2 linked regions of the Tamandua tetradactyla genome follow. The protein of the gene in region 2 interacts with the protein of the main gene of each other region in a biochemical or structural test. Links are inferred from orthologs where the notes say so. Each region holds a gene or a part of one and is shown on either strand. Other genes may lie near its edges.

Evidence for each region.
Region 1: the proteins of KBTBD8 (region 2) and TCOF1 form a complex in vitro, tested with the Homo sapiens proteins (2 studies listed by BioGRID, with this or other methods). The link is inferred for Tamandua tetradactyla from reciprocal best matches to the Homo sapiens genes KBTBD8 and TCOF1.

What each region holds. Positions count from the first base shown.
Region 1 is NC_135346.1:31,142,815-31,152,864, reverse strand, and holds the start of TCOF1 (treacle protein), read right to left. Parts: upstream 4,027-10,050; 5' UTR 3,970-4,026; coding exon 3,862-3,969; intron 1,466-3,861; coding exon 1,410-1,465; intron 1-1,409.
Region 2 is NC_135341.1:17,349,577-17,359,414, forward strand, and holds the start of KBTBD8 (kelch repeat and BTB domain-containing protein 8), read right to left. Parts: upstream 4,762-9,838; 5' UTR 4,589-4,761; coding exon 4,573-4,588; intron 3,964-4,572; coding exon 3,753-3,963; intron 1-3,752. UniProt on the Homo sapiens protein: Substrate-specific adapter of a BCR (BTB-CUL3-RBX1) E3 ubiquitin ligase complex that acts as a regulator of neural crest specification.

The sequences.
Region 1 (10,050 bases), on a different chromosome or scaffold from region 2:
TGCCTGGTGATTTCTGGCTGGGATGGACACTGCCTTCATTCTGCAGCTGAAGACACAGACTCAGAGAGGCCATGAAACTTGCCTAAGGCCATCCTGCTAGCTGCTGGGTTTGAACTTTGTCAGGAACCACTAGGCTAGGCTGCCTCTGGTGGGTACGCGATTCTGGGCCTACTCAGTACTTCTCCCCCATAGAAAGGGTTAGTGGCACAGAAAGGTGTATGGTATAGCTCACTGAAGCTGTGCTCTGGGGAAGGAAGTGCTATGAATAACACCCAAACACCTGAGAAAGTTGAAAGGCTGAGGAAGAGGAAGTACATGCCCTGGGCTCTGAGCTTGACTTAGCAGCAGAGGAGAGCCAAGAACCTGAGGGCTGGCAGGTTTTTTGATGCCCACTGGAGGCCCAAATTCCCTCCACACCATTCATGCCATTGCTTACACACCTCCGATGATAGGGGAGCTTACCACTCCTACTGCAGCATAACTCATTTTTGGACAGCAATGATGATCAAATGTTTATATTTAAAAGTTGAAACCTATCTTTCTAAAACTAGTCTTCCCCAATCTATCCAGAGATCTTGGTTTCAACTCCCAATATTCCTGGAATCTACTGTCCACCCTCTCCACCTCCTGTCATCCCTGCCTCAAGTCCTGTCAGGTCTTGCTGAGATGATCTCCACAGCCCCCGACTGGGCTCTCCAAACTGCAGCAGAGTGATGAGCTGATCTCATCACCTGCTTCACCCTTCCAGGGTTCTTGCTGCTTACTTCTTTTCACATGAAGACCAGGCTTTGCAGGGGCGGGCCCTGTCAACCCCTCAACCTCATCTGTATGTCCCCCAGGCACGGGGATTGGAAGTTCTAAGCACACACTCCTGCCTGTTTACACCGATTGCCTAGTTCACTCTACTTCTTTCAGCTCTCAAGTCACATGTCACCTCAGGGAAGTTGCCCCTGGACTCCCAAACGAGGGCAGGCTAACCTGTTTATGTAGTTTGGGCACCGGGTACTTCTCTTTTGTAACCCTTACTACCACTGTAATTTAACATTTATTTGTTTCATTTTCTGACTCATGCTCACCTCCCTGATTACAATGCCATTCAGGTCTGTTACATTCAGCACAATATCTTTATAATTAGAACAGGAGGACCTGGCATTCAGTAAGCGCTCAATAAATGTATGTTGACTGAACAAATGACAAACTGCTGAGTTTTTGTCTTTACAAGATCACAGCTTTCAATGTCCCTTCCTATACCTAGAAATATCCAGACATGTGACCTGGCTTCCTGGAGGTAGCTACGGTGTTCCAGTGGGAAATGGGGACACATCTTAGACCAGATAAATTTCTTGGCTTATTCTAAGCCAATTTCTTGGGATGTCCCTGCTCCACCCTTTTAGCACCATCAGACTCACTGTTGCCAGTGTGTATAGATGTCCAGAAGGGTAACAGGCTGAGCCAGGAAAATTTTCTGCAGAGAAAAAGAGAGCAGCAATTAACCCCCCAGCACAGGAAGCTCCTGCTCTGGGCCCAACTCTCCCCAACCTCATGACCGGCAAGGATAGCTGGTTAAAAAGGGGGTCTTTTTGCTTTGGGAAACATACCTGGTTAGCCCTGTCAGCACCATTCAAAACCTTCCAGAGACAAACAGGACAAGCAATTTCAGCTAAAACCTTCTAAGACAAATGTTGGTAAGAGATACCTTTGAATTTTGCAATGTTCCAGGTTAGCATTCACCCAACTCCCAGACACTCTCCATCTCAGAGGCCAGGAGATGAGGCTTTTTCTACTTTGACCTTTCAAAGGGCCTTCAAAGGCCTGGCAGGTCAATCTCTCTCAGGCAGTATGAACCATAATCCAGACACCCAAGGTATCTAGGAGGCACAACCACAGTCCACTTGTCTGCTGGGAAGAAGCTGTGCCCAAATGTTGTCAGTGCCTTGGTGGTAGGGGAAGAAACCGGGTGGAATCCAAGCCTTCAGTGCCAAGGCCAGTGGCCCTATGCTCTCTGCTAATATCAAGAACCTGGGGTTTCAGCCCCAAGGAGTCTGAGTGAACAATGTGGGAGGAGGACAGAGGTTCACAGACCTGGGCAGAATGGCCCCAAAAGGGAGTCAGGCAGAGCTGGAGTCAGCATCTGGAGTCAGCATCTGGAGTCAGGCAGAGCTGGGTTTGAGGTGGAATCCCTGAGTATCCCTGGGCTAATCTCTACACCTCAAACTTCAGGTTCCTTCCATAACACAGGGAACACCAAGTGTCAGCCTCACTCTGTTCTGTCCCAGGCACACTGGCCTCCTCATTGCCCCAATTTCCCCACCTCCCATTCCCACTGGCATCTTGCTGTTGCTTCTGTCTAGCATGCTCTCGTCACTGCTAGCTGCGTCACGTACATCCTCATTTCCTTTAGGTCTCTGCCCAAAGGTCACCTTCTCAGTTTGGCTTCCCTGATTACTTTATTTGCAGTCGTACCCCTGACATTCTTTATCTCCCTTGCCTGCTTTATTTTTATAGCTAGCATGTACCATCACCTGACACACCATGTGCAATCTAATAGAACGTACCTTCTATGAGGGCAGGACACTTTTGCCTGGGTATATACCCCAATGAAGATAGACACTGGTGACTTGCATCCTAGCTATTAAGTGATCTAACAGGAGTCAGAGGCATAGCCATGGCTCAGGGAAGGTTGGAAAAAACATCAATAACATCCCCAGGACCCATCACTCTTTGACAGTTCGGGAGGACCTGAGAGCAAGCATTAGGATCAGTTCTACACCTCAGCAAAAGGGAACCTGCCTAACTCCCACCACTCACCAGTTTAAAATCCTCCAACTGCCTCCCACTACTCTTAGGTAAGGACGAAAGTAACCACAGGACCCACTCATGCCAACTCGTTGCTCCCTTTCCTGTCCCTACAGGGACCTCTATTGCCCTCATCCCCAGCCACAGAGGATTTTCTGGAGACCAGTGCTTACAAAACAAGCTCCCTCCTACCACAGGGCATTTGCATCTCTTCCTAGAATATCCACATCCCTTCCTTCGGATCTTGACAGTCACTTCCTCATGGAAGCAAATTTCAGATAGTCCTTGTGACTTGGACAATTTGCCATACCATATCTTAGCACCCTATGGCTCTCCTTCTTAGCACTTAATGTAGTACATTTATAGAGACTTTTAATACTTTGGTTTATGTATTCCCTACTAGACTGCAAGCTCCAGGTGGGCTGGGAGCCGTCCTCACCATTCTATCATCAGCAACATGAAGCCAGATTAACAGTTATTAAATGAATGAATGATGTAAGAAATGACTCCCCCACGAGTTCTAACCTCAAAGCTGTCCAATTCAGTAAAGAAGAATCGCTAGGGGCTTGAGTTTCAATTCAGTAAAAGGCCGAGGGCTCCTTCTTGGCTCCTCCGGAGGCTGGTCGCCCCTCAGACCCATCACAACCTACTCGGCCCGGGGCGGGGGTGGGGTGGGGTGGGGTGGGGGTGGGAAGCGCCGAACCACGTGGCCAGAGACTAAAGAAACTTTAAACTGCCGCTCCCAGGAAGGGGGTGGAGGTGAGGGGCAGACTAAAGAAACTTTAAACTGCCGCTCCCAGGAAGGGGGTGGAGGTGAGGGGCGCGGGAATTACAAAAGCCCAGGGAATCCTATCACATGTCTTGGCCCGCCCACTACAATGATGGGGAAACTAAGGCCCAGAGGGATTGGGAACCACAGGATAGGCAGAGGCTGCGGCTCCTTCGGCGCCCCGGCCCACCACCTCGAGCCCGGCGGAATCCAGCTCCTGGGGCCCGCCCGGCAGTCCGGGGAGGGGGTGTGGGCCGCTGCTCTCCGGATCTAGCACGCGGCCCTCGCACGCTCACCTGCCCACTCTGCTCCTTCACTTCCCGCGCCGCGCGCACATAGCCCGCGTGCAGCAGATGCTGGTAGATCAAGGGAAGCAGCTCCCGCCGCTTTCTGGCTTCGGCCATGCCCACGACCCCCGGCCAGTCGGCTCACCTGCACGCCCCCCCCAAGTCCCCGCCCGCCACTTCCCTCGTGCCCTTAGACCTCGCGCGTCCCACTTCCGGCCCCTCCTTCGTCCGGGTCCCTTGGCGCGCCGGGAAATGTAGTCTTTTTAACTTTGCGTGGCTGTCCCCACCCCAGCGGGTGAAGGGGGCGGAGACTCAGAGGGCAATAAGACCTCCCATAGGAGGGGAGGGCGGGGATTGAACTAGCCCCGCCTCCTGCACGGCCATCCTATGAGTGTCTCCCGCCGCGGAATCCCTTTGAGTCGCTACTTGAAAGAACTTGTCTTCTGTTTTCCGAACGCTGTGATCGAGGTTTAGTCATCTCTGAGTTCGACTAGTAGGCATTTCCTCCTAGAGCCGAACTTCCTGTTGTCCATGCCTTTATTCATTTTACGCATTTTTCAGGACTTTTGAACTAAGCACTACTTGTCATTAGTTCATTCATTCACTGATTGAACAAATTGAACAAGGTAACTTGGGTTAGCACCGGGTTCAGCAGGGGGGATAAAATGACGAGTAAGAAGTAGCGGCTGCCCTGAACGCTCACAAGGGAGAGACAAGCAGTCGATATCCAAACAACTATAGTTAAATTCCTTTTGTATGCAGCGTATGGGAGTAGGGAGGAGGGGCGCTTAACCCTAAAGAGACACAGATTAAAGATAGAACACAGATTTATAAATGCAGAGGAGAGATCTGACACCCCACACTGAAGGCATCACATGAGTGCCTACAATCCTGGTGTAGACTGGGGAAACATTGTTATGCTGCTGGCCTGTACTGGGGGGAAGAAGGACAGAGTGAGGACACGTAAGGCTCGAGAAAGGTCCGTAAGGTCCCCATGTAGAGGCAGAACGCTGCTCCAAGGACAATGGACCCTTGTTTGGCTAGTTTTATGCAGGAGAGTGACATGGTTTGTTTTTTAAAAAATATCGCTCTGAACAAAGCATGGAGGATGGATTTGTGAGGTATAAAACAACATGTGACACTGCTATAGTTCAAGGGAGTTTGGCAGGGGAAGGATGAGCTAGCCTGGGGTTAAGTCATTTGTTCTTAATCTCATGGGTCCCGTTGAGAATTCTATGGAAGCGTGAACTACCCAGCCCTTGCTCTAGAAAATTTTGAATCTGTACAGATACATGACATTTTCCACCTATTTCAGCACTCAAATAGGCACATACCTATGTCTTCTAGGATTAGGAACCTCTGCTTCAGGAAGAAACACGGACAGGACAAGATGGTTGATTGGATGTGGTATGTAAGGAATAGGGAGGAAACTAATCTACAGTCAATCAGTTAGCAAATTTTTGTGGACCCCCTACTATTGTGGATAAAAAAGTTCTCTATGCCTATAGAGCTTACAGGTTAATGGGGGAGACACACACTAAACAAATAATCAGTCAGATACGCTGTTGACTTGTGAGGAGTAAATGAGTTCTAAGCAGAAATGCTTAGAAGAGTTCCTAACAACAACAAAAAAAGTGCTGTGTATGTATGTGTTATTATTGTGAAAGCATTCAACAAGAATGCTTGGGGGTTAGAGAAGCATACCCTGAGGACATGATATTAGTGAAGAAATCTGTACTATGTCTAGAGGATAGGGGAAGTGGGAGAAGAATCTCGGACAGAGGGAAGAACCTGTGCAAAGGGCCTGAGGCAAAAAGTACTGCTGAGAGAGAATGAAAGGTAAGCCTTTGGAAAAGGACCCAGAGGGAAAGCACAGGGCTTGCGGAATGCAGAAGGTGGCAGAGGACAGATTCCACATCAAGGATGTTTCTCTTCATCCAAACAGCTATTGGAGGCCATTGATGGTATAAGCCAAAGAAGGTTAGGATGGAATTTGAGTTTTAATGTGACCAGTGTGAATGTCCATGGAGAGGGGAGTAGTGGGTGTGTGAGTAGATGTGAGACCTGTTGGGGTTAGGGTTACAGTCAGGCATCCAGGGGGAGTGTATAATAGTGGCTGCAGTAGGGGAGTGGTAGTGGAGTTAGAGGATGATAGAAGATTCCTGGAGTTATTCAAGAAATAAAATAATCATAGAGATGGGCTGGAATGGGAGAGTGAGGGAAAGGTGATGTTAGGATGGACTCTGTGTTGTCTGTGCAAATACGTGGACTGTAACTTTCACTAATATAGGAAAAATGGAAGGGGCTTGTAGTGGGAGGGTTGAATGAGGAGGGGAGGTAGTAGAGATGGAGGTGAGAAGTTAAGTTCTACTTTAGACATGTTGAGCTTGAAATGCCTTTGAGATACCAAGTGCAGATGTTGATTAGGCACTTGGAAACATGAGTTTGGACTCAGCATAGAGATCTGGACTAGATATGAATATGAGAAATTGTCAACAGAGAGATGATAATTGAGTCTGTGGATGAGGACAAGATGGCCCAAGTTGAAGAACATAGAGAGAGGAGAGAAGGTGGTCCAGGATGGAGCTTTGAGGCAACGTGCAGGGCAGTGAAAAGGAAGTTATGCCTGCAAAGATAGAAAAGGAGCAGCTAGAGAAGTGGGAGAAAACCCAGGAGAGTGGGCTTATAGAAGGAAGAGGAGGAAAGAGTTTCAGAAAAGTGGGACGAGACAACAGTGAGACTGCTCAGAGAGGGCAAACAGGATAAGCATGAAAAAGGGTCTCATTTTAATGTCGAGCATGGAGATTGTTGGTGACATCAGGGAATGAGATTTCTAGAGTGATTGGATAGAGTCACATGGCAGTGGCCAGTCTGATGGGTGAAGGAGAGGTGAGAGAGACAGCGGGTCTTTTGGGAAGTTTTGTGTGAATAGAAGTGAGAGCAAGGTGTTATGGTCAATGTGTGTGTTGGGGGAGGGGACATTGTGCTTTAAGACGAGTTTGTTTAAAGGCTGATAGAAGATCAAGGGGGGAGGGATTAATTAGGACTGTAAGGAATAGAGGAAATAATCATCAAATATAATGTTCATGAGCAAGTAACAGGGGATGGAATCAGGCGTGTAGGTGGAGGGGCTGGATCGGAGAGGAGGAGGGATGTATTCTCTAGAACCAAAAGAGGGAACAAAGAGAGGATGGGTGCAGATGTAGATGTAGGTTTGTGGTGGGATGCTAAGGGAGATTTCATCTTGAGCATCTATTTTTTTCTGCAAAGTGGGAGGCAAGGTCTTCTGCTGAGAATGAAGAAGAGGTGGTGAGGAGTTTGAAGGAAGAAGAATGATCATTCAGATAGTTGAGGAGAAGCTTGCACACAAAAGTCCCTGAGAGTGTTGACAACCCAGTTGAGAGTGGTGGTCATTAATTTATGTGTGCTTGTCCTGTCCTGCTGAGCCATTTTCTCCAGCAGGGCGCAGCTGCCCAGACACAGGCAGGTGGAAGGAACTCAGTGGGGTTTATCCAGGCCCTGATGGGTGGGGAGAGAGACATAGGGCTCTAGAGAGATACTAAAAGAAATGCCAAATCGCTGGGTTCTGGAATCTAGTCTGGGTAGGAAGTGAAATGAAGGCAGATGGGTCAATTTTCAGGGACACCATGAAGGCCTCCGAGGAACCCCTAGGAGGTACAGAACCGGAAATCTGGTTCAGGAGAACAGAGACAGCTTGTAGCTTGAATTAGTGATGACACCCAGCTTTCTGCTTGGGTGGCTGGACGAGCTACTCACAGAGATGGTAAAGGGGGTCATAGAGCATACAAACTATTGTAATAGCTAAGGTTTTTTTTCACACACCCCCCCAAGAACCAGTTTTTACCTCCCCGTTGAGAATGCCTGCCTTAGTAGAATGTAAGCTCCCTGAAGGCAGACTCATGGCTGTCTTGTTGGCTGCATTATCTCCAGCCCCTAGCACAGTGCCTGCACGCAGAAATTGCTCAGTAAATATTGGCTGCATGAATGACTGGACTGTGATAGACAGAAGAGAGGGGGACAGAACAGGCAGGGCACTCACTGTGAGCATAGCCCTGGAAGCAGGACCATGGAAGGCCTCTGGAAAAGGAGAAGGAACTGGGTCATGTGTCCTTGGCTGACCTTGGTAGAAATGGAGAACTGGTATTAATTTAAAAGCAAAAGCAAAAGCAAAAAAAAATGAAAAACGGGATGGTCTATTACCTTCTGTCTGGTAACAGGTTGTTTGCTTTTGTTTTCTTCCTAATAAAATTCGTTCTCAGCACTTACGCTTTGTCCCCGGCTCCTGGGAGGCTGCATCTTATGCGGACAATTTCTTTATCTCCTTGATTTTCCAAATCATACCCTTCACTGAATTGCCTCGGGGCCCAAGCACAAAATTAAAACATTAAACTGATAAAATATAACATGGCAACAATTAAGACAACAGCAAACAAAACAGTACATTAAAAAAAAAAAAGCCTCAGAGCATTTCTCTTGCATTTAGGAAAAGAAGTCTTTGTTAGCCATACAAGCCAGAAACTTCCAGACCACTTGACTGTGAGCACCTCACGGGCAAGCAGCGTGCCTCAGTCATCCTGCATTCCCGTGCAGGGCCCAGTGAGGGAAACGTTAGTGCAGGAAGGCTGGCAGAAGGGAAAGGGAGCTAAACAAGTGGGGCATTGTCCTCTTCTCCTTCCAGCAGGGATGTATCCTGCCCGGAAGTAGGAGATGGTGTTCCATGGGGGAGAGACCACTAGGCCGGGATCTGGGAAAGTGCATTGGGCCTGGTTCTGCTGGGTGGCCTTGGGTCAGTCTCTGGCTCTTGCTCATCTTAGCATTTCCTACTGTCAAAGGAAGGGGTCAGTCAAGGACCCCTCCAGCATTGGGACACTCAAGAGAGGGTCTCGTGTGGGAAGACTGCCCTTGCCCCCAGGACTCAAAGATAGTCCACTGTATCTGGTGTAAGAGCCTGTTTTCTCTTGGCTGAGTCACTTTGGTCAATAGGCTTCCCACGGCTTTCTTTCCTCTCATGGGATGATAGTATCTCTCTTTTTTCATTCCTCAATCTCACCGGAATTTTTAAAAGTGTACACAAGTATACGCACCTGAAATAACAAATTAAACAATGCAGAGATTCATAGACAAAGCCGGTCATCTTTCCCTCCCTCTTGTCCATTCCCAGTCCTCCCAACCCCACCTGGGCCCCTCCTCATCCTATTTCAGCTGCCTGCTGTTAGACTCCCCACATCCTTGGCCCTCTGCCCCCACAAGGGTTTAGTCCTTCCCTGCCCTTACCCTTTTCATTTCTTCTTCTCTCTCTCCCTTCTTTTTTTTTTTAACAAAAGAGAGTTCATCCAAAACATACAACTCTGCAAGTCACTTTTTTATGTTTTATTACGTATCAGAACATTTCTTTAGACACCCTTTTGAGTAATAGTAGCAACTCACATTTACAGAAGGCTTAAATGAGTGGCTCTAAAAAACACTCACCAGTTTAACTCGCACCCTACCCTAGGAGGCCTGTGAAATGGTTATCAGCCTCAAGGCCTGGGGCAGCCAGTCTGTTTCCTGGACTGGCAACCAAATGTGAGTACTCGCTGTCCTGGGAACATCTCACTCCCTTTCGTGCCATTTGAACAGAACTGCATTTTTCCTCTTTGAAGTTTGATTGTTTTCTATTCATCTTTCAAAGCCAAGTGAAAATGCCGCCTCTTCAAGGCTGCCTTCCCTGATTGCCTCCAGCTGAGTCATCTCTGATCTGCAATAAGGGCCCCCTCTTCCGGCAACTCCTTCCAGGTGGACATGCATCACAGAAGGACCTGCCAGGAGAGGGCAGCGCACGACCAATGGAAGGGCTCTCAAAAGGTCAAGGACTCCAAGGGGCCTGGACCTGCCAGAGGTCCTTGGGTGTGCACCCCTCCTTCTCCCGTACAGGTGCCTATGAGAATATGGGCTTTAACCCCAGCAGTCTGACTTCTGACAAGTCTTGCCCTTTCCTGGGCCTCAGTTTTTCTGTAAAATGGGAGGGCTGGAGTAGTTCACTGTTTCTGAAAGTGTGGGGCATTCTTTCTGGTGATGCACGAAGTGATTTCAGGAGATGAATAGATGGACATTTTAAGACTGAAATCATTGTGTATTTATTTTAGTGTATATTAGACAAAAAATAGCTAGCACATCAAACCTGTTATTTCACAGATA
Region 2 (9,838 bases):
AGAAAGAAAGAGTAGGTAATATTATATTAAAAAAAATTATAAAAATTACTGTGGCAAATTTTAAAAAGCATAAAGTTATCATATAGATAACCTTTTGAAACAATGAATATTTCCTAATGTTTTTCCTGATATTGTGAACAGGGATAAAATTAATCTAGAAGGATTTAGTCTAACTAATCTCAAAATCTCTACTCATAGGGCAAGTCCACTCTGTGCCAACTCTGGAAAAGGGGACTATACTTAACTAAAACAAACCAAAAGGTGACATGGCTTATTTCAGGACATCTTATTTTACCTGGGGTCCCTATCCAGGTTTCTGGTCTAGCGGCCTCAGGGAAATGAGCTCTCAAATGGTCTAGGCTAGTAAGAAAATATAAGAATATCTATAGGATGTCAATGTGATACACTAGCATACAGAAAGACTGGTAGAATTTTTCATGTCCCAGTGGAAATTACTACATCTGCCCAAAATATATCTTTAAAAGATTTCATCTTGGAAAGTTAAGATGCTCATCAAAAATGCATTTTCTCCACCTACTCTTTTTTAAAGCTATTAACTTTTCAATGCTTCCTTAATCTTATAAGGAATATACAGAACATAACCTCACTTACACTTGGATATTTTGAAACCCTGTTTAAAATGATATATTTAATTTACTGAAAGTTAACATATTTTACCCATTTATAACTGGACTAAAGATAAAGATTACGGTAGAGTTAACAGAATACCTTCTTCTAAAAAGACTAAGAGTTAGTGTGATTCTTGGAGGATAATAGTTTTTAAAATCCAAAATTTTACTTTGAGACCAAACTCTTTTCTAATTAAAATAGCAGTACATTTATAGGGCTTTCTTGGACAAAATATTTAAGTAACCAATAACTGGCTCTTTATTTAAGAATCATTTACCTACATCATGTGCTTTTTTCTTTTTAGTAGCTCCTTTAAGGTTTCTTTCTAGGCTGCTGTTAAAATTAAATATAAAAACCAAGTCAAAAAGCTCTCTTATAAGACTTCTGAGGAAAGGGCTGTGTACTATTTAAATTTGCACAGAAATTACTGAGTGAGTTCCCATATACCCCCCTATGCTATTTATTGTTGCTTTCAAGGTCCAGATGCTTTTAAAATGTTTTTTGAAGAAATTTACCTAACATTGGTGATACAGTTCAGATCCAGACCCTACTATTTTATTTTTAAGTGCTATGTGATAAAAAATATATACTAAATGGGAAGATTTCCAAATTAATTTCTATAGTAATTATATGAAATTAATTTCATAATGCAGTATAAGAAATATTTGAGGTACATAAGGGTACAAAGACCCAGCTTGGCCTGTGTTAACCATCTTTGAATCCTATTTTTCCTTCTACAATGTACTTTCAAGTTTAATACTGCACAAGATTTTTTGATGGCTAAAAAACTAGCCGTTCCATGTAGAAGGCTAAAAACTAGGTGTTCCTATGTAAAAGCTGGTTTTCAATTCAGGTGCCCAAAGAAGAAACCATCCAGCTACCAATTAAAAAAGAAAAATAAAGCCCTTCATTAGGCAGAGATTAACTCCCAAAGGATAACTTTACCACAGATCCCTTTATCATGGGAACTACTACTGATTTGAATAAGCTAGTCACACACTGGAGGAGTCTGACACTTGATAATTGCTCCTCTGTTCAATTAATTACTTACGTACACTGTATATGAAGTGGAAGTACTACTTCACACAAAATCCCAAGTAGCAACAAGTTATAATAACTCATACAAATTTTAATTTTGACAAGTCACTAGAATCACAAAATAGTCATGCCAAATTTCCAGCTATTCTAATTCTTCCACCAGTGATGCAAGACTTAGAAATTATTAAGTATGACTTTCTATATCTCAATAAAGAGAAGCACTGGTGCCAAGAAATTTACTCTGTTAAAAAAAAATACTGTAGCAAGAGATAAGAACATAATCCTAAATTTTCTAATCAAATATCTTAGTTTGAATTCACATATCCTGTGTTCAGTAAATTTTTTAAGCATTTTCTTACCTTCCTGAAAATTAAAAATGTATATTGTAGCATACTTCTTTTAAAAGATTTGTCAAAGTCTTAAAACTGACAAAGTATGACATTTATGTAATATAATCCAAAGTATAAAATTTCAATAAGATAGACATTTTCACTTTGAACTTTCAAATTTGAAGTGTCAGAATTTTCAAAAAAAAATTTTTTTATATTTGTACTATTCAAATCAAATATACAATAAAAACCTTTCAAAGGCAACTTTAAAAAGAATCTACTTTACCCACTCGTTTCTTAGACACCCAGACTAAGAACGCTAGCTCTGCAATCAAATCCTTCCTCTGCCACTTACTTGTTAAACAGATGATTTAGGCAGGTCACTTTACCTCCCTGAGTCTCAGGGAGATAACAACTATGCAGAGATAGGATTATAAAGATCATATAAGGCAATGCATGTAAAGCAAGTTTAGCCCAGGGATTGATAAATAGTTAACATGGCAGATATTTATACACATAAACAATCTAACCATCTCTAACTGATTGCTTGGATAAGTGAAATCTCACCATTAGCTTCATTACCAGGCCAAATTCATACCTTCTGGGTATGCATTTCACCTTTGTTCTTTCCAGTGTACTGTCTTGTGATAGTTAATGATCCAATGACTTACACCAGGCAAGACTAAATGGTTACATCACAAGCAGACTGAAGTGACTATATTTAACCTAGTATTCTGAGAAAGAGGAACTAGAAACTCCAGTGGAAAACACTACACTGCCACATGCCCTACATGGTAAGCACCTTCAAAATGGAAACCATATTTAGGGTGTGGTGAAGAAGATGATTTTATTAGTCATTCATGCATTACTTTGTAATAGTGGAACAGTTAAAAAAAATAAGCACTTGAAAACAGGAAAAGAACTTAAATTCAAACAGGAAACTGACGTTACTGCTAATCTTTTTCCTAGTGTATGAAATTATTCTGAAGACCCAAGTTTTGATATTTTACATTGCCAAGTTTTATGATACGCAAACACAAATATGAAATGACAAGTTGGCTTAAAAATACTGAAAATATTGGAAATAATCACTAGTCTGGGGCCTAGGGCAAACAGAAACAATAGTTCATTCATTTTTATTCCACTGCTTTTACCACCAAGGCATTGAAACAATATATTGACTAGTGATTTTGTTTTTAAAGGAACAGGCTCTCATGTTTTGAACTCTAAGAGTTATATGCCCTAAAGAAATAGACATAAGGGGTAACTTTTGGAACAAACTAGATTGTACTGTCCATTAGAACGCATTAGAACGCTGAATGATGGAAATGGTCTTTATCTGCACTGCCCAAAACGGCAACCACCATTGAGCACTTGATATATGCCTAGTGTAGAGACACTGCATTTTAAGTTTTATTTAATTTTAAATAATTTCAGTGTAAACAGCCACATGGGGCTAGTGGCCGCCATATTGGGCAGCGCAATTCTGGATTTTCTGGTCATTTACTTCAAACAAAAACAAAACACAGGTACCCCAACTTAAAAAAAGCAACCATCTGAATTCTAGAAGAATCCCTCGTGTCAAAAACAAGGGCTATGTTGCAAAAAGTAGAGCGTGTTATCTACTTACTCTTCAGGAAACAAACTCAGTGATTTCATTTCATTGTTGCTTCAGCATAATAATCAAGAGGACGGTACTGAGGGAGAAAGGGAGCTCGGAGCTAATACCAACAGAAGTTTCTACCATCATCATACCTGAAGTAGGGGCTGATTGCAGCAAGAACGTTTCTATGACAGGAAAATGTTTTCCCGTGATCCACTTCCACTACAATGTCTGTCAACTGTCCTTCATCGTACATTGTTTTGAGTTGCTTAAGAATACTGCAAGCATGGAAGGGGTCCATAGCTTCGTAGGCTGGGTCTGAAGATGGAATCCCATTCGTTGTTGGGGAAGACTTACTTAAATCTAGGAGGAGAAAAATTGTACAACCACAAGAAGTTCCGAGCCAGTTACGGCGTCATAGGGGTTTTTGTCTCTTTGCTTGTTTTTCTCCCCCCTACAAAAATGCATTTACGTATATACACACCACCTCGTGCAATCACGAGGTAGGACCTGAGAGACTGAGAAAGAGCAGAAAGCGAGCTGCCGGGCAAGTTCAAAGGGCAGCCTGCTCCTCCCGGAGCTCGGCGAGTCCGGCGCTCGGCGCTCGCAGAGACACAGTGTTGGCAGAACAAGCGAGGTGTCTGCGGACACAGCCGAAAGCCGGGACGTTCCAGCTGGGAGCCAACGGCAGAAGCCTCACGAGGGAGGTTCGACGGACGGCGTCCGCCGGTGCCGCTCCAACCGCCTCGCGACCAGGTCTGCGCGGCGGCGGATACCCGGTCTCCCCATCTCTGCCCAGCCGGACTGAGCACGCCCTCCACGCCCTTCATCCTCCCTCCCCTCAGCCCCCTCCACCTCTCCATCCATCTCTGGCAGCGGGCTCCTTGTCGCCGCCGCCGGCTCCTCAGCGCGCAGCTTGTGGCTGCCCCGGCCCACCTACCCCCACACCTCCCTAGCCGCCACAAGACCCACCTGCCGACGCGGCCATTTCTCGACGGGGCCCGGGATCCAGCTATTTAAAGAGGAAATGTCATTTCTCTTCCCTCTCTCCCGGGTTCCGGCTCTTCTAAGCTCACTCTAGCCAATAGGGTGGTCTATGCAACCAGCTCCGCCCCCAGGCTCCGAATTCCCCACACCGATTGGTCATGATACGCGCAAGTGTATGTCGGGAAATGTAGTTTCATTGCCCTCGCTCCCGCGTGGTCGCTTTCGGAGGGAGGCCGAAGTCGGGGATTTCTATTGGCTGGTGCGGGCGGAGGTGGCGAGCTGGGAGTGTGCCAGCCTGTGTCCAGGGAGCGCGCGGTTCCTGCCGGGAGAGGTAGTCTTCTGGGTGAAGAGACCTGTCATTCTGAGGGGCTGGGGTAGGGGAAGCTCTCCAAGTACAAATTTTCCGGTTTTAGGCCTCTCTCCTGGCCCTTGGCTCACTTTTTACCTTATTCATTCCCCGAACGTCCTGCCAGTTACTAGCTTCCGATACGAAAGCGTGCAATGCATGAGAGCTATGAAACCAGAAAAAAATTGGAAATGGACAAGGGGACTGCTGTCCAAAATTGCGAAGGAAATCCGATACCCCACCCTGAAGAAAAATATCAGGAGGCCCAAGAGCAAGCCATCCCCGATGAGTCACCTGTGACACTCAACTAAATAGCATCGCCTTGGCCGTGTGCTTCGGTTTCCAGATTAACTTGGTTCGGTTACAACGGATGCTCAGGATCTTTAACTCCCCCTCATGCCTTGCTTTTCTCGCACACCCAGAGGACACCTGTTCCATATTTAAGAGACGCGAACATTATAGAGGGATTCAGAATGCCTTCCTTTTTGGTCCCGGAAAATAGAGGATTTCAAATACTTAGTAGTCTGGGATTTCCTTTAAAGAATATTGGAATACACTGAGCCTCGAGCCAGAGAGTTTATTGAAGCTTTGGTTTTTTTACTTAGTATATGTGGGGCTTAGATAAGACCTTTCAACTCCTGAGTACTTAGATCCCTCACCTGTAACGTGTGAATAAGAATGCCTACTCTGTCTCATGGGCTGCAAGCCTTTTGCAAGAGGACAGAAATTCGACATGTTTTGATTTGTGTAGAAACTTGTGCCTCTAGCATTTAACAAAATGCCCGGCACATTACAGCTAATTTATACTTAAAAAAATAAATGTAAGGTGCAAATCAGCTAACATCGGGAGTGCTATTTCTAGACCTCAGAATGTAAGGAAGAATTGTTATCAATGAATGGGAAAGAATATTTAATAGAGATATAGTTAGCTCATGCCCACAACTTTTCTTTCATTGAAAAGTTCTACCGCTTGAGCTTCTTAATGAAGGATCTTGAAGTTTAAACTGTGTTTGAGAAACAGAGTGACACAGAAAGAAAATGATGGGAAACAATTCAGTTCTGTTCCTAGGCCTGCTGAAAAATTGAGAACTTGAAGTACTATAATCCCATGGAAGTTAACAAGAAATGGGTCTAGGGTATGTGGACATCAATGTGCACTTGTCCTTCTTTATGAAAACCCTGTCTACACAGTCCTGCGTGGATAAAATCAATGTAACTTTTGTTACTCATGACTTTCATTTTCCATTTCTTTATGATCCTAACGTTGTTGCTTTATAGTTTATGAAAATATAATGGGGTTTTCACTCACAATATTGATGCTATTAACAAAAAAAATGGCATCAATCCTTAGGGTTGCCAAATTTAGCAAATAAAAATAAAGGGCATGTTACATTTGGTACATACTTAAACTAAAATATTTGCTGTTTATCTGAACTTCAAGTTTAATTGGGTGTTTTGTATTTTATCTGGCAACTTTATTGAGCCTGTTAAAATAGGGTTTTTGTATTTGTTTGCATTTTGTTTTTGTTTCATAGCCACCTATCTATTAGGACTTAAATTTAGGCATAAAACCTGATTTTCATTCCATTCTCTCCTAACTAAGAAACAGTCTTGGTAATATTGTTTGAATAGTTAAAAGGAAATTTTCTGATTCTTTGACCTACAAATATTTCTATATGGGGGGGGTGGAGCTGGTTGCAGAATACAAGGAACAAAAGCCAGGCTAAATCTAAATAGAAAAAAAATGAAAATTTATAATTACAGTGTTGCCATTTATATGACACTGAAAAGACTCCATTCTTCTAAGCAGATGTAGTGACATAGTAAAGATTTCATCATCATTAGAAATGCATTTTTTAAAAACCATAGAAGAAGTAGGAGGATCTCAAAATTGAGCCAATTGTCACATAACTATTTGTTGTCAATGATCTTTAAGAATACAAAGGGGAATCTGTTTCAGGGTTGGTACTGAATAGCTAAAGGCTAAAGCTTTTTATATGAATAGCTATAATTTTAAATTTAATAAGAGCCTTCTGCAAATCTGGAAAGGCAGCCGTAAAAGTAAAACAATTTTTATCTTAATGTATTAAGGCCTTTGAAACAACTTTCTCATTAATAAGTTAAAGTAAAATCTCCTTTGTTGAAAATTAAAAGGGAAACCAGAATATTGAAGAATCTATATTTAGCTCAAATAAGACATTTGGAGCTTTATTGTTTTAACACTTTTTACCTAAGAACCCAAACCAAAGAAGACTGTTATAATTGTGGTTGTCTCTAAGAACAGAAAAGTCTTTACATTTAAATTCTGGCAAAGATGAAGGACTGCTAAAGGAGCAAATTTGGAAAACATTGCTCAGAGTCACCTTGTTTTTTTCTGCTTCCACTGAAAGAGAATGACATTCAGCAATTATCAGCTCTACCCTGGCTGCTGTCGATGATAACACCATACTACACAAGAATGATAGCGACTCTGATGAAGAAGATATAAAAGAAAATAGAACTGCACTTCTGCAAATCGATTCTGCAGTTTCCAATTTCCTTGTTCAGTACTGGTTGTGGCTGTGAAATTGACCAGAGCTATATAAAATGAAAGTAAAGACAGAATACCTGCAACCCTTTCCTTTTAGCAAATGGCATCCTTATATGTTTATCCTACTCAGGTTACCACTACAACCTTCTTGATATTTTCAATGGGACATTTTTTCTTACTGGAAATTTTTATGTTGGTGGGCTTCATGCTTGAAATGAATCAATGAACATAACTATTTCTAATATAAATTTTATGTAATATCAGATACCAAAAGTTTTCTTAATTTTTAAAGCTGTATATATTGTACACAATTTAGTTTTCAAATATAAAACTCTGGATAGGCAGTGATATCAAATTCACTGATTGGACATTGCTGACCTTTGTTTTATTTTTATTTATATTTCTTTTGAGATGATGTAAGGCTTTAACATAGAAATAAATAGAAGACTACATTTCTGTGAATCACTGAATTTTATCGGACTGGGAAATATTAAAAGCATTATTTGTGTTTTTAATGTCTGGCATTTAGAAGAGACCATGAGACAACTGGGGATATTTCACAGGTTTTCTTTTTGGAGTATTGAAAATGTTCTAAAATTGATTGTGGTGATGAATGCACAGCTCTGTGATTACACTGAAAGCCACTGATTGTATACTTTGGATAGATTGTATGGTACATGAATAGAGCTCAATAAAACTGCTTTGAAAACATGTATATTATCCCCCCTCCCCTGCCCCTGCATTCAAAGTACGGCATTGTGTATGAAAAACTGTTCCTGTTACACATACATGCATATAGTCCTTAACTTCAAGGAGCTGTGGTTTATCTGTGGATAAACTCACTCTCTCATATTCTTTCTCTGTCTCTCTCTCTCTGCCTCCCTACCTGCCTGCCCCAATGCGCTGGTAACCTCTAATCTACTGTTTATGCCTGCAAATTTACTGTTTATAGTCATCCCTTATAAGTGATGTCATACAATATTTGTACATATATGTCTTGCTTATTTCACTGAGCACAATGTTTTCAAGGTTCTTCCATGTTGCTGCAGGTTTCATACTTCACTCTTTCTTATGATCAGATAATATTCCATTGTGCTTTTATATTACTATTTATCCATTCGTTTATTGATGGACACTTAGGTTGTATCCACTTCTTTGCTATAGGGGATTGTTCTGCTGCAAGCATTGGTGTACAGTTATCTGTTTGAGACTCTTCATTTCCTCTGGGTATATACCTGTATGTGGAATATCCAGGTCATATGATAAGTCTATATTTAACTTTCTGAGGAACCATCATGTTGCCTTCCACAGTGGTTGCACCATTTTATATTCCCACCAACAATACACTAGAGGTTCAATTTGTTTGCATCCTCTCGAACACTTATTTTTGTTTTTTAAAAAATAATAAGACTCAGAGTTGGAGCTCTGCAGCTCTGAAAGTCAGCATTCCTACATACAGTAACTGTTCAAGAAGCAAAAAAGAGATCAGTCTTCAAATAAAGATAAAAACAAAACTGATCTGATTGGGACTAAGATGAATCAGAATACAGGGTGAAGAATGACAGTGTCTGAATTTTAGAACATCACCTACTATATGAGACTAAAGGAAGAGATCTTTATTTTGTCCAAAACCTAAATCTTCTGTAGTGTACAGTCTAACTCAACCTTCCTGGATAGTTCATTTAAACAACCCAAACACATGGAGCCCAGAATGGAAGTGAGGGCTTGCAATTCTGTATAGCTTAATGCAATACCCAGATACATCCCAGAGTATAATTGGGCAGATAATTAAAAAGTATAGGCAAAGTCCCTTCAAGGACTGAAGAAACGATATGAAGCTATTAAGCTTTCCTAATTGGTAGACCCCTGGTACTCTCAAACACTAAGGACTCCTAAGTTAATGGACCAAGTCGTGGATCTTGAGACTTGCTCTTATGAAAGTTATTTCTGTAGCGGAAAAGCTAAGCCTACCTAAAATTATGTCTAAAAGTTACTTCCAGAGAACCTCTTTTGTTGCTCAGGTGTGACCTCTCTCTCTCTCTTGACCAACTCTGCAAGTAAAATCATTACTCTCTGCTCTATGTGGGACCTGGTATTCAGGAGTTGTGAGTCTCCCTTGCAACATGAGACATGCCTCCCAGGATGAGCTTGGCCCTGGTCCTGGAATCAACAATGCTGTTCTGACCAAAAGGGAGAAAAGAAATGTAATGAAATAAGATATCAGTGGCTAAAAGAGTTCAAATAGAGTCAAGAGGCTATTCTGGAGGTTACTCTTATGTGAGCTTCAGCTAGATATTGCTAATTGTTTCAGTTTGCCAAACACCAACCAACATCATTCCTGTTAACCCTAAAGAACACCCAGGGCTCTGTCTGAG